Linked DNA regions of Saccharomyces cerevisiae S288C. The protein of the gene in region 1 interacts with the protein of each later gene in a biochemical or structural test. Each region holds a gene or a part of one and is shown on either strand. Other genes may lie near its edges. The genes, in order: RTT105 and RFA3.

Region 1 (2,787 bases):
AGAAATCGCAGAAGGAGCACAACGTCTTGATCTTTGATTTAGGTGGTGGTACTTTTGATGTCTCTCTGCTATCCATAGATGAAGGTGTCTTTGAGGTTAAGGCTACTGCTGGTGACACTCACTTGGGTGGTGAAGATTTCGATAGTAGGCTGGTTAACTTTCTAGCCGAGGAGTTCAAAAGAAAAAATAAAAAGGATCTAACAACTAACCAAAGGTCCCTAAGGAGGTTAAGGACCGCCGCTGAAAGGGCCAAGAGAACTCTGTCTTCGTCTGCTCAGACATCTATAGAAATAGATTCATTATTTGAGGGTATCGATTTCTATACTTCCATTACAAGGGCAAGATTTGAAGAATTATGTGCTGATTTGTTTAGATCTACATTGGAGCCAGTGGAAAAAGTTTTGGCTGATTCAAAATTAGATAAGTCACAAATTGATGAAATTGTACTTGTTGGTGGTTCAACAAGAATTCCAAAAGTACAAAAACTGGTTTCTGATTTTTTCAATGGTAAAGAACCAAACCGTTCGATTAACCCTGATGAGGCCGTCGCTTATGGTGCTGCCGTACAGGCTGCCATCTTAACGGGTGACCAGTCGTCGACGACCCAAGATTTACTGTTGCTGGATGTTGCACCATTATCTCTAGGTATTGAAACTGCAGGTGGTATTATGACAAAGTTGATCCCAAGAAATTCGACTATCCCAACAAAAAAATCGGAAGTGTTTTCCACCTACGCTGACAACCAACCTGGTGTGTTGATACAAGTTTTTGAGGGTGAAAGGACAAGGACAAAAGACAACAATCTACTGGGTAAATTTGAGTTGAGCGGTATTCCACCCGCTCCAAGAGGCGTACCACAAATTGAAGTTACATTTGATATCGATGCAAATGGTATTCTGAACGTATCTGCCGTTGAAAAAGGTACTGGTAAATCTAACAAGATTACAATTACTAACGATAAGGGAAGATTATCGAAGGAAGATATCGATAAAATGGTTGCTGAGGCAGAAAAGTTCAAGGCCGAAGATGAACAAGAAGCTCAACGTGTTCAAGCTAAGAATCAGCTAGAATCGTACGCGTTTACTTTGAAAAATTCTGTGAGCGAAAATAACTTCAAGGAGAAGGTGGGTGAAGAGGATGCCAGGAAATTGGAAGCCGCCGCCCAAGATGCTATAAATTGGTTAGATGCTTCGCAAGCGGCCTCCACCGAGGAATACAAGGAAAGGCAAAAGGAACTAGAAGGTGTTGCAAACCCCATTATGAGTAAATTTTACGGAGCTGCAGGTGGTGCCCCAGGAGCAGGCCCAGTTCCGGGTGCTGGAGCAGGCCCCACTGGAGCACCAGACAACGGCCCAACGGTTGAAGAGGTTGATTAGATAAATACAAAGATGCGATGAAGTAGCAGCATCGAATTTCTTAGTTTTCCCTCTTAACAACTTTTTATAAGTATATATATAAGATACACAATCAGTAATTAGCAAATGACTACTATTTGTACGTTCTCATCGTCATAAGCCAGAGTTTAATTAAGTGCCTCAACCGGGATGCGATTTCGCGTTCATATACAAAGCCGAAATGACAATAAGAAAGTCATCGCCAAACAACACGACTAATTGACCATTAAAAGGAACAAAATACAGTCAAAGAGTTTAGCTCGGAAATGTACAGCAATCATAATTTAAATTCGGATGACTGTTGCTTCGATTGGAATGAAGAGAAGGCCGCAGAACTACAGCGTACAGGTGTTTCTTTTGACCGGAGTTTAACACCTCAATCTTTAAGAACATCTACACGTAGACTATCAGAAGAGAACAAACAACAAAGTGGCACTATGCACATTGACACTTCCCCTTCTGTGGTTTCAGATATAATATCAAGTAGACGAGATCGTTCACAGGATTTTTTTGGGCCTCATTCTTCATCCCCTATTGCCCCTTCAGAACGACAACGAGCGGATCAGAGATCACGGTTGGAGTCCATGAGATTAACTAGACGTCGAGACAAAATGACCAAAGTACGCGGTGGCCTAGAAAAGATGGAAGAAATGATCATGCAAGGTGAACACCTTAGAGAAATGCAAAGGCTAAAGCAGGAAGCACAAAAGAACGCTCTACCCTCTGACATGGCTGAATATATGGAATGGCAAAACAACGAGGATTTGGAAGACGATGAGTTGCTTGCCTTTATTGAAAAACAGGAAACTTATAAAAATGAATTAGAACACTTTTTGAACAATGCTAATAAAAATGTTTATGAGAACAACTCGTATCCGAACTCTCATACGTGATGGCATCATTGCTATTACAGAAATAGCCCTAGCCTGTCATATTTAACTGAGCTGTTGAGTATGGGCATCTTTCCGCATGCGCTAACTACGGAGCTGGCTCTTCCCCTTCTATTAATCCTTCTGGCAGGAAGCGAAAGCGACTGATGTCGTTTCTACGTTTCTATGTATATTCTATCGCGTTTAAGTGTGTATATTTTGAGCTGCTCAAGTGAAGGGAACGTATTCAGAATAACTAGATTCTCTGCCATACGATCAACTAACTGTTTACCATATACAGTCTCAGTTCGCTACGGTTAGCGTACCGTAAAACAGCAGTTTACATTCACTATATAAAGGATGACGTAAGAATTTGCCTACGTATTAAAGAAAACTTCACAATCAAACTGCTAAAATATACAAATAATTCCGTTCATTTCAGGCCATGATGACGATCCTTCACATAATCTTGAACGGGATCGGTATTCGGATCATATTTCTCCAATTTTTTGATTTGTTCTGGC
Region 2 (10,295 bases), on another chromosome or scaffold:
GCTAAAGACATCGTGAAAATCCTAACTACAAAGGAACTTAAAAAAGATTCTTCAAGAGCGCCGCCTGATGACTTAACCAAAGGAAAAAGGCATAAAGTTAAAGAATTCATAAATTCATACATGGATAAGATTATCCTCAAGAAGAAGCAAAAAAAGGCGTTGGCATTATCATCAGCATCAACAAGGATGTCTTCTCCTCCACCTTCAACATCATCATAATTAACCAGACATGCATATTTGGGGCTTGTTTCACGTTTTCTGTCCCAAAGGAAGTCTTGTACTTTAATTGTAATTGCGATTTGTAATAAGTAATTTTTTTTGTCTTTACCGTTTATTTCTTTATACATTTTTGGTGCATATATTTAAATATCCGCATTAGTGGGCTATCAGTAGCACTGTAATGATAGGTAATGTGACACATCTTCTCGACAGATATTATTCTTGAAAAAATCGTGCGTTTCAAGTGTCTTTATTTTTTTGCTGTCAATAGAAGTGTTGAAATGACTTTGAAACGTAATTACCGCATCGGGAAATTTACATGTTAACTGCAATGAAAACAAGGAATATACGGGGAACATATAAAGGGTCAGCGTCGTTGACTAGTCTGTCATTTATATTGTGCTTGTACATAGGACTACAAAAATTCAAAGAATGACGACAAGAAACATGACTACTTTAGCATCAAGTATTGAGCATAAAACAAAACATCTAGCCGCGCCCTTCGAGAACGATGAGAACCCTTGGATGAAAAAATACTGTTGCCAATGCAAATCATGTAAAATGAGTGTGCCTGTCCAACCTTGGCTGCCAAGGTTTTTTGTTTTTGGAATCTTGTGCCCCGTTTTCTGGTTGGTGAATCTTTTAGCCTGGTGGTTCTTACAGTATTGGCAACCACATGAATTGGAATTCCACGACTTGCAAGAAGACGAATACCCAGGATTTTATGAATATGAAGCCATAACTAAAAGAACGGTGATACCCATAAAGGAAGAAGTCCTCCAAGAGATTCGCGTCATGCAGAATTTCAGTGATAGCAACAGCGAAGAATATTACGAGAGCAAAGACGGTATGCCGTCGTCTTTCCTAAACGTGAACACGGAACAAGTCGAGGACGAGAATGACACCTTGAAAAAATATCGTTACGCGTTTTTGAAGAAGGTAGCCCACGATGTGCTGGAGTCGCACGATTTATTACGTAAGACCTTCCGCGACTGGAATTTACGGTCTTTGCTTGGCCTCCTCATCGATTCTATACTCATAATATTTGTAGTTCTCCTATGTAAGAAAAGCCGTTAGGTAGATCTAAAGACAGAAAATGATATCAGCCTCTTTCTTTTCCACAGCCTCCATTTCCCATTTTTGCTGTATCTGCAAGGGTTCCTTTTTCCATTTTTTTTTTTCAAAGTCTTGGCTCCGCCCTTTTCTTTTGTCTATTTTGCCGAGCTTAGGTTATTTATAAACCTGAAAATCCTCGAGAAACAATCCTTATCGAAGGAAGCAGCCATAATAGAACATACTCAAGTGCAAACATTACAAGCTTAAATAAGACAAATGTTACAGAGTATAGTCCTTTCCGTGTGCATGTTTATGTTGCACACAGTCGCTGCCAGTGGACCTCAGTCGTACCAAAAGTTGGATTTCACTAATGTTGGTTTTACAGGCTCCTACGTAGATGTGAATAAGTTTAAAGATATCACCAACAATGAATCGTGTACTTGCGAAGTGGGTGACAGAGTATGGTTTAGTGGTAAGAACGCTCCACTAGCAGACTATTTATCCGTTCATTTCCGTGGACCATTGAAGTTGAAACAATTTGCTTTTTACACATCCCCTGGATTTACCGTCAACAACAGCAGAAGTTCTTCTGATTGGAACCGTCTTGCCTACTATGAGTCCAGTTCCAAAACCGCTGATAACGTTACCTTTCTAAATCATGGAGGTGAAGCTTCCCCTTGTTTAGGAAATGCTTTGTCCTACGCTAGTTCTAACGGTACTGGCAGCGCCAGTGAAGCTACCGTTTTGGCAGATGGCACTTTGATTTCTTCAGATCAAGAATACATAATCTATTCGAATGTCTCATGTCCAAAATCAGGTTATGATAAGGGTTGTGGGGTTTACCGTAGTGGCATTCCAGCTTACTATGGGTACGGAGGTACAACAAAGATGTTTTTGTTTGAATTCGAAATGCCTACTGAAACTGAGAAAAATAGCAGCTCTATTGGGTACTATGACTTGCCTGCTATTTGGTTGCTAAACGATCACATTGCAAGGACTTCTCAATATCCAACCAATGCCAACTGTTCATGTTGGGCTAGTGGATGTGGGGAATACGATATTTTTGAAGCTATGAATGGTACGGAGAAAAACCATCTCTATTCTACTTTCCACACTTTCCAAGGTATCGAGGATTTGGGTACTGGTATCCAATCTTACGGATACATAACAAGAAATACTACTGGAACGATGAAAGGTGGTGTTGTTTTCGATTCTAGTGGAAATGTCGTTTCTTTCATATCTGATGCCACTCCATTCAATGGAACTGTTTCTGCTGATACTGTTAACGATTTATTGGCTGCAATTCCAGAAAACGAAACCTATTCTTCTCAATTGATGAGCATTTCTGCTACTGCGCCTTCGACCACCTCGAAGTCGAATGGTGTTGCTTTAACGAAGATGCAAAACGGTGTATGGTATTATATTTTGGCCATATTCACTGCCTTTACGCAAGTGGTTTTGATTTGATTTAAGTCATTGTATGGTCATATTATCATCATCATTTAAATTTTGATTTGACACTTGATTTGACACTTCTTTTTTTTTTTATTTATGTTTTGTTTAACTGACGGTGTTTTTTTTTTTACGTTATACTGATACATATATAGACGTGATTTATTTAAATAAAAAGTTCTATGAAAAAAAAAAAAAATTAAAAAAAAAAAATTAAAAAAAAAAAATCTTTGACTATTCAATCATTGCGCTTAAGCGTATTCGTTAACATTAACGATATACTCGTAAACAAAGGCAATGGCAGATAAATGACCTGGGACATCCACGTGTTCATTAACCGAATGCAATGTCTTCAGTAAATCAATATCAATGATAGAGCCAACAAACCTATAAATGTTCTTGGACAAATTCCAGTAGTATTTAGTATCGGTGTTACCAGAGAATAAACCAGTAGTCACATAGAACTCTTCGTTGTTTTGTAGAACACCGTTTTCAAAAACATCTTGAATAGTACCTGCCAAAATGTCCCAAACAGGGCCTGAACTTGGCGAAAGTGGTGCTGGTTCCAATTCTCTCAAGAGAGTAATGTCAATGTGACCTAACTCGGTTTCAGGGATAATGTAATCGTCACCGTTCTTAGATAAACCATAGCCATACTTCTCAGCAATCTTTTTCGCATATTCTATGTTTCTTTCAAAGACTTCAGCCACAGAAGAATGTAAATTAATTCTGTGATTGATCAAGAATCTGGTAGTTTCGGGCAGAGCATTAGCTTTAACACCACCATTGATGATATCAACAGCTTGTGTTGTTCTTATTAAGCTGCGCAAATGTGATTGGTTGGAAATGTACTCAACAAGCTTGTCCTTCCTTCTAGGACAGAATGGTGCGCCCAAAATTGTCTTCTTCACATCCTTACTTAAAGATTTAGAATGTTCAGCAGCACATGTCAACAATCCATAGATTGGATTGTCAAACTCAAATTCGTAGTCAAATGGGTTGGCTTCAAATTCAGTAATCAGTTCTGAAGCGATACCGATTGTGGTATGATCAGGTGGGACAGAGGAATGACCACCATGGCCTAGAATACTGACTTCGAAGTCGACATAGCCTTTTTCAGCGTTGATTGGAGTGGCAACAAAGACATCCTTGTCGACTTCCATGATACCTTCACCCTCGTCAATGATACTGTAAATACCATCATCACCATATCTTTCGTGAAGAAATGAGGCTAAGCTGGCAGCACCGAGGGTGCCGCTTGCTTCTTCATCAAAACCAAGCGACATAACAATAGTTCTGTTGGGCTTGAATCCATCTATCAACAGTTGTTCGATAGCTTCAAACTCGGCAATTAACAAGTTCTTACAATCGTTAGAACCACGCCCCCAAACAAAATCTGTTTCTGGATCATAGTGACCAGAAAATGGAGGGAACTTCCAGGATGATAAAGTTTCGTTGTTTACAGGTACAACATCTTGATGGGCCATTAACAATAATGGTTTTAGATCAGGATCAGAACCTTCCCATGTGTATAGAAGACCCAGCTCATTGACTTTCTCCAATTTCAAATGCTTGTGAATATTAGGGAAAGTCTTCTCAAAATAGTCGTGTAGTTCATAAAAATGCTTATAGAAATCCGGATCATCTGCGGGGTTGGGGTTTTTGTCTTGGACTACAGTGGGGATTCTAACAGCATTGGACAGTTTCTCAATGGAGCTGTTTCTAAAGGCAGGGTCATGAAGAATTGTGTCGACGGAATGTTTGAATGATGGACTTAATGGTTCAATCTTCTCACATTTGGGTGAGTGCATGGGACCTTTTCCATGGTGTGGACGCTTTGCCTCATGAGGTGGTGCTGGGTGGAGACCCGAAGTGAGGAAGAAGGTGCCGATGATAATAAGGGCAACTATTCCACTAATAAAGGCTCTGTGCCTTTGCCATAGGGACTTTCTAGGGGCCTTCTCTACTGGTAAGGCGATCATAATGTAATTGTTAGATGAATGATTCCTTAATGTGATGATGCAGGATTAGTTTTACAATGGGAAGAGACGTATTTGGGGTACCCGTTTCTTTTATATGTCATAAACTTTCTTGCCCGACCTTGGAAGGCTGTATCGTATTTTGCCCAAAGGGGAAAATAAAAGGCCGCTATGATAAGATAAGGGTGGCGAGGCTGAGATAACAAGAAGATGTTCTGAGCATTGAGCATTTAGGATAACAGTGCACAAGATCACGCGGTTCAATTCGTCACGTAAAGCTACTAGAAGTGGGTGTTTCTAGTAGCCTGCAAAAAGCGTCGTTCTAAAGAAACTTTTTTCAATGACACATTTACTGAAAATAGAAAAAGACTATCTATTCGTAGCTGATTTTCAAAATCCGTATGGGAAATCAGAGGTTATGGAACTGACAACGTCGTAGGAACAAGCGATATGCAAATCCCGGTGTCGCTTTGTTTGTGTATCGCTAAAAGCTTATATGCAATACTCGCGAAGGTACTATAATCCCTTGGACTAGGTCATCCCAATTCTTTGTCTTTATCAGTAAACTCTTATCTTACCTTTGGTCTCAAACTGGTATTTTATTTGCTGAATATTAACTACCACTAGGGATTACTCGTAAAATTATGAAAAAAGTACCATATGAACTCCAATAACGGTAAGTGATCAATAGGGAACAGCAAGTCTCTTCTTCTTTGCAACGTCAAGATTGATCCTATGCTTTCATAATTTCCCTACATGATGGCAGTCATACTCCAATTAAGTGCTACAAGAAAGAGGCCTTCGCAACAACTGTGTCAACGCTTGCAAGTGCTAAATTGTACTACAGCACCAGTGGTATCTCCTATAGTCAGTTACATAGTAAAATATTCAGAGGTCCATTACATAAATATATATATATATGTAGAGGCATCCATCCATGTTTGTCGATGCAGCTGCAAGCACCCAACAAGAACAGATGACAGCCAACAGTCGTTGACTAACGTAATGGGCCACTGCTGAGAAGCATCCACCGCCCATGCCATGGTTGGAATCATGACAAGTCGCCCTATATAATGCCTTCGTTCTTTAATATTGACGCGCCAAATGTGGCAATACGCGATATTTTTTTCGTTCGTGTTTAAATAAAGAGCAATATAACACACCCTTCACCATTCTTGTAGAACATCGTCTACCAGTAACACAAGTAAAAATGGCCAGCGAAACACCAAGAGTTGACCCCACAGAAATCTCCAACGTCAATGCTCCTGTGTTTAGGATAATAGCGCAAATCAAATCACAACCCACTGAATCTCAGTTGATTTTACAATCGCCAACCATATCATCGAAAAACGGCAGCGAGGTTGAAATGATTACGTTGAACAATATTCGTGTATCTATGAATAAAACATTTGAGATCGACTCGTGGTATGAGTTTGTTTGCAGGAACAATGATGACGGCGAGCTAGGATTTTTGATTCTAGACGCTGTACTATGCAAATTCAAGGAGAACGAAGATTTAAGCTTAAACGGTGTGGTTGCTTTACAGAGACTATGTAAGAAATACCCAGAAATATACTAGCTAAAATCGCTTTTATTCTTACCTTTATGTACTGTTGCCTCTATATGTCTTCCCTTCATATAATAAATTCCATTTCTAAAAAAATTGTAGTTGTGTTTATAGATGTATAGATAGATAAATGAATGTGTACTTGCTGCCTTAACGCCTTCCGCTAAAAACTTTTTGATATTTATTTTATTTTTAACCTTTCCTGACTTCAACCCTTACTGTAATGATGATAGTAGAAGCCGTCTATTTTTCATACTTTTCTCATGTTGATTTTCCTTGCAGACAAAGACAATCTCTTGGATGGTTTGTACCAACCACCATTATCTGAAGGCATAGATGCAGGAGTAGCGTAGTTTACTCCCGATGATATCGTATAAGACCAGCCAGGAGTTATCGTAGTTGCTTGCTCTGGCAATGACCCAAAGGTAGAGTAATATGTCACAGCACTAGTGGCAAATTTCCTTGTCCATGTGGTAGCGGTCACTTTAGTATTTGGCTGCATTTGCATTGGAGCGAAACGCGACGTACCAGTCTGCTTGGTGTACGGAACAGTAAATGAACGACTGTCAATAGTAGTGGCTTGGGCGTTGTTTGTAGTGGTTGTTTGAATAGAAGTCTGGGGAGTAGGTTCAGTTGTGGCACTATATGTATAAGCCGTAACACCGCCCATGGAAGTCAACTGGAATCTTGGTGTATAATGGATAGTGTAACCTTGACCGTCCACCTGGGCAAAAACTTGAATGTAATATTGACCGTTCCCAGTTAAGGTCGAAGCAAACTCAGCTGTGTAAGAGTAAACTTTATCATCTTGTGTTAGCTCACTTGGAGTAATTTTACTGGCAAGTACGGCCACACAGTCAATGTTGTTATTAGGACCAGTACAAAGACTGAACGTGAAAGTTGAAATCTTGCTTAACGAGGGATATGCCCCATTATCCATCCATTCAACGGGAACAGAGACAGTACCACCACTTGGACTGAATGTTGCCTTGGAGCTGGGGGAAACAATATTCACATCTCCCAGCACAAATGAGACTAAAAACACCAAAGCACATATGATGGAATTTCTTTGTAAACGCATTATCTATAATATGTCACAGTTGCTGATTCTCTGAGAAGGAAGTAAAAAGCGAAAGAGTAGATTCCTAGTAATCAAAACAAAGTGTGAACTGCCACTTTTAGCGCTTCTTGGAACTATCAAACTGGAGCAAATCTGGCTTCAAGAATGCTTTGAGACTCCTGTTCTATTCCTGTATTATCCTTGAAGATCTTTTTCGAGGAAAAAAAAAAAGAAATGTAAATAAAACACCTAATCGTCAAAAGTGATATTATATTGAACCGCCGTGGTTACGATGGAATAATGGTCAATACGCAGTTTAGATGGCATCCAACAATTCAGGATGGCCAATGATGTTATTTTAGTTTGAATTGATTACTTTTGAGCTAGTTTAAATTCGATTTAAGAGCCATTAAGTAGGCATCACGAATAACGAGGCCGGACGTTTGGCGTTTAGGCCATTGGCGAAAAGACGAAAACAAACTATATCAGATACGCAAGAGGAATGTGTAAAGGCCATGCAAGGCGCGATATATTGGTACATCGAGGCGCGTTCAGAGACCAATTGTGATACGGTTTGCAAGCATGGAGAATACACTGGGTGAGGGGTCCACGGTAAACGCTTCCGTGGACGTGGACCAACATGGCAATGACAACAATAGTGATAGCAACGCTAATGCAGCTGTGGCAGGGGTTGCCAATACAGATACTGCTGGTGAAGAATCGCAGCAACAAGATGAGTCTCTGAAGGATGAAGCAACTGTTCCGAACACACGCGATGCAGAAAGTGAGGCGATAACGGTAACGGCAAAGCAGCAGCCGACTATGCAAGCGAATAAGCTAGATTCCCAGGAAACACCTTCTACAGAAGAAAGCAGGGCCCAGAACGTCTTTGGCCAAGATAATGAGGATAGTGATAATCTCTTTGGCGAAACCGAGAGTTCTGTTTCGAACAATGAGGCAAACACTCCTAGTATACCTACGAACCCGGTAGACAATGAAAACAATAAGCCTGCTATTAAGGAAGACAGCACAATACAGGATTCAAATGGTGACGTTAAAAACATGGAGGACGTCAAAATACAAAAAGAGGAAGAACCAGAGAATAACACTGTTATTGAAGGTGTCAAAGAAGAAAGTCAGCCAGATGAGAACACAAAGGAAATGGATGAAGTGGAAGAAGATGATGAGGATGACGATCAACCGATGATTAGTCCTGATAATTCCATTTTTGGAGACACAAAGAGTGAGTCTAAACAACTAGGCAACACTTCGTCGGTTGCTAATACTCCATCTGAAATTCCAGATGCGCATAAAGCTGAACAGGAGGATATCATAGAAAAGACGGAAAGTGTAGATAAGAAGGTAGATAGTGGCGAAGAGAGAAACGAACAGGAACGTGAAATCATGAACGATCACTCCAAAAGTGCCAATCCAAAGAAAACCACTATCACCAGAGTAGAACCCGAAACTTTTGAGATACCGCAAGCACATGAAATTGTTATTCCAAGTTATTCTAAATGGTTCAATCTAGAAAAAATTCATTCCATTGAAGTTCAATCGTTACCTGAATTTTTCACCAATAGGATTCCATCAAAGACACCTGAAGTTTACATGAGATACAGAAACTTCATGGTAAATTCTTACAGGCTGAACCCCAACGAATATTTCAGTGTCACTACGGCGAGGAGAAACGTCTCTGGTGATGCTGCTGCATTATTCAGATTGCATAAATTCTTAACAAAATGGGGGCTAATAAACTATCAGGTTGACTCCAAACTATTACCTAAGAACATCGAACCCCCACTAACGTCTCAATATTCCACAAGGCATGATGCCCCCAGAGGACTATTCCCATTCGAAAGTTACAAACCATCTGTACAACTGCCGGATATGGCAAAGCTTAAAAAAATGATGAACACTAGTGATTCGGAGAGTACTTTATATAAATATTTGAAAGAAAGCAAAAGAAAATATGATGAAATAACTCACCCCCCCAGTACCACTGATGATGAAAATGGTGACAAAAATGATAATGGTGGTAAAATGAACAATGAAGTAAGTACGTCAACAAGCATGACTGGTGATGCCAATCTATTGGAAGAAGGCGAAACTTCACGTCCTCTGAAAAAAGTCAAAATTCTAGAACAAATTGATGAAAATTGGTCAAAAGAAGATTTGCAAAAGCTATTAAAGGGAATACAAGAATTCGGCGCTGACTGGTACAAAGTGGCCAAAAACGTTGGCAATAAGTCGCCTGAACAGTGTATCTTACGTTTCCTTCAATTGCCCATTGAAGATAAATTTTTATACGGTGACGGCAATGGCAAGGGTGATAATGACAACGGGTTAGGACCTTTGAAATATGCTCCTCACTTGCCATTTTCGAAGAGCGAAAACCCCGTTTTATCAACAATAGCATTCTTGGTGGGTTTGGTCAATCCGAAGACTGTACAGTCGATGACCCAGAGAGCCATTCAGTCCGCAGAATCAATAAAATCACAAAAAGAGGAAATCTCTGACCAAAAGCCAATTGAACATATTAAAGAAGGTTCAGAAATTGCCATATCATCATTGGGTTATAGGAGTCATATTTTCGCTACCAACGAGGAAAGGCAAATGAATTTTTTGACTAACGAGCTAATAAGACTTCAAATGGAAAAATTGGACGCTAAATTAAATCATTTAAAGAAACTAGAAAAATTTATGGAGCTAGAAAGGAAAACCCTAGAAAGACAACAGGAAAACTTACTAATTCAGAGATTGAACTTCAACCAAAACTCCAGCAAGATTGTAAACGTTTTAAGCAAATGCTTGAATTTAATATCCGACAGCAATATCAATAATAGTTCAGTGGCGGAGAAGGAGGAAATCAGGTCGCAGATAGACCATTTCAAAAGTATGCTATCGAAACCTGAAACTTTAAGTATTGGAAAGAATCCATTTAACAAACCTAATATTGAAA

The links.
Region 2: the proteins of RTT105 (region 1) and RFA3 form a complex in vitro, tested with the Saccharomyces cerevisiae proteins (3 studies listed by BioGRID).

Annotation. Positions count from the first base shown.
Region 1 is NC_001137.3:365,142-367,928, forward strand, and holds RTT105 (Rtt105p), read left to right. Parts: upstream 1-1,660; coding exon 1,661-2,287; downstream 2,288-2,787. Other genes in the region: Hsp70 family chaperone SSA4, read left to right, coding at 1-1,376; NUP157 (Nup157p), read right to left, coding at 2,697-2,787. UniProt on the Saccharomyces cerevisiae protein: Involved in regulation of Ty1 transposition. Inhibits Ty1 transposition at a post-transcriptional and pre-integrational stage of the Ty1 retrotransposition cycle.
Region 2 is NC_001142.9:92,151-102,445, reverse strand, and holds RFA3 (Rfa3p), read left to right. Parts: upstream 1-5,916; coding exon 5,917-6,285; downstream 6,286-10,295. Other genes in the region: histone methyltransferase SET2, read left to right, coding at 1-219; ASG7 (Asg7p), read left to right, coding at 667-1,296; TOH1 (Toh1p), read left to right, coding at 1,552-2,742; CPS1 (Gly-Xaa carboxypeptidase), read right to left, coding at 2,979-4,709; KRE9 (Kre9p), read right to left, coding at 6,524-7,354; SWI3 (Swi3p), read left to right, coding at 7,916-10,295. UniProt on the Saccharomyces cerevisiae protein: As part of the replication protein A (RPA/RP-A), a single-stranded DNA-binding heterotrimeric complex, may play an essential role in DNA replication, recombination and repair.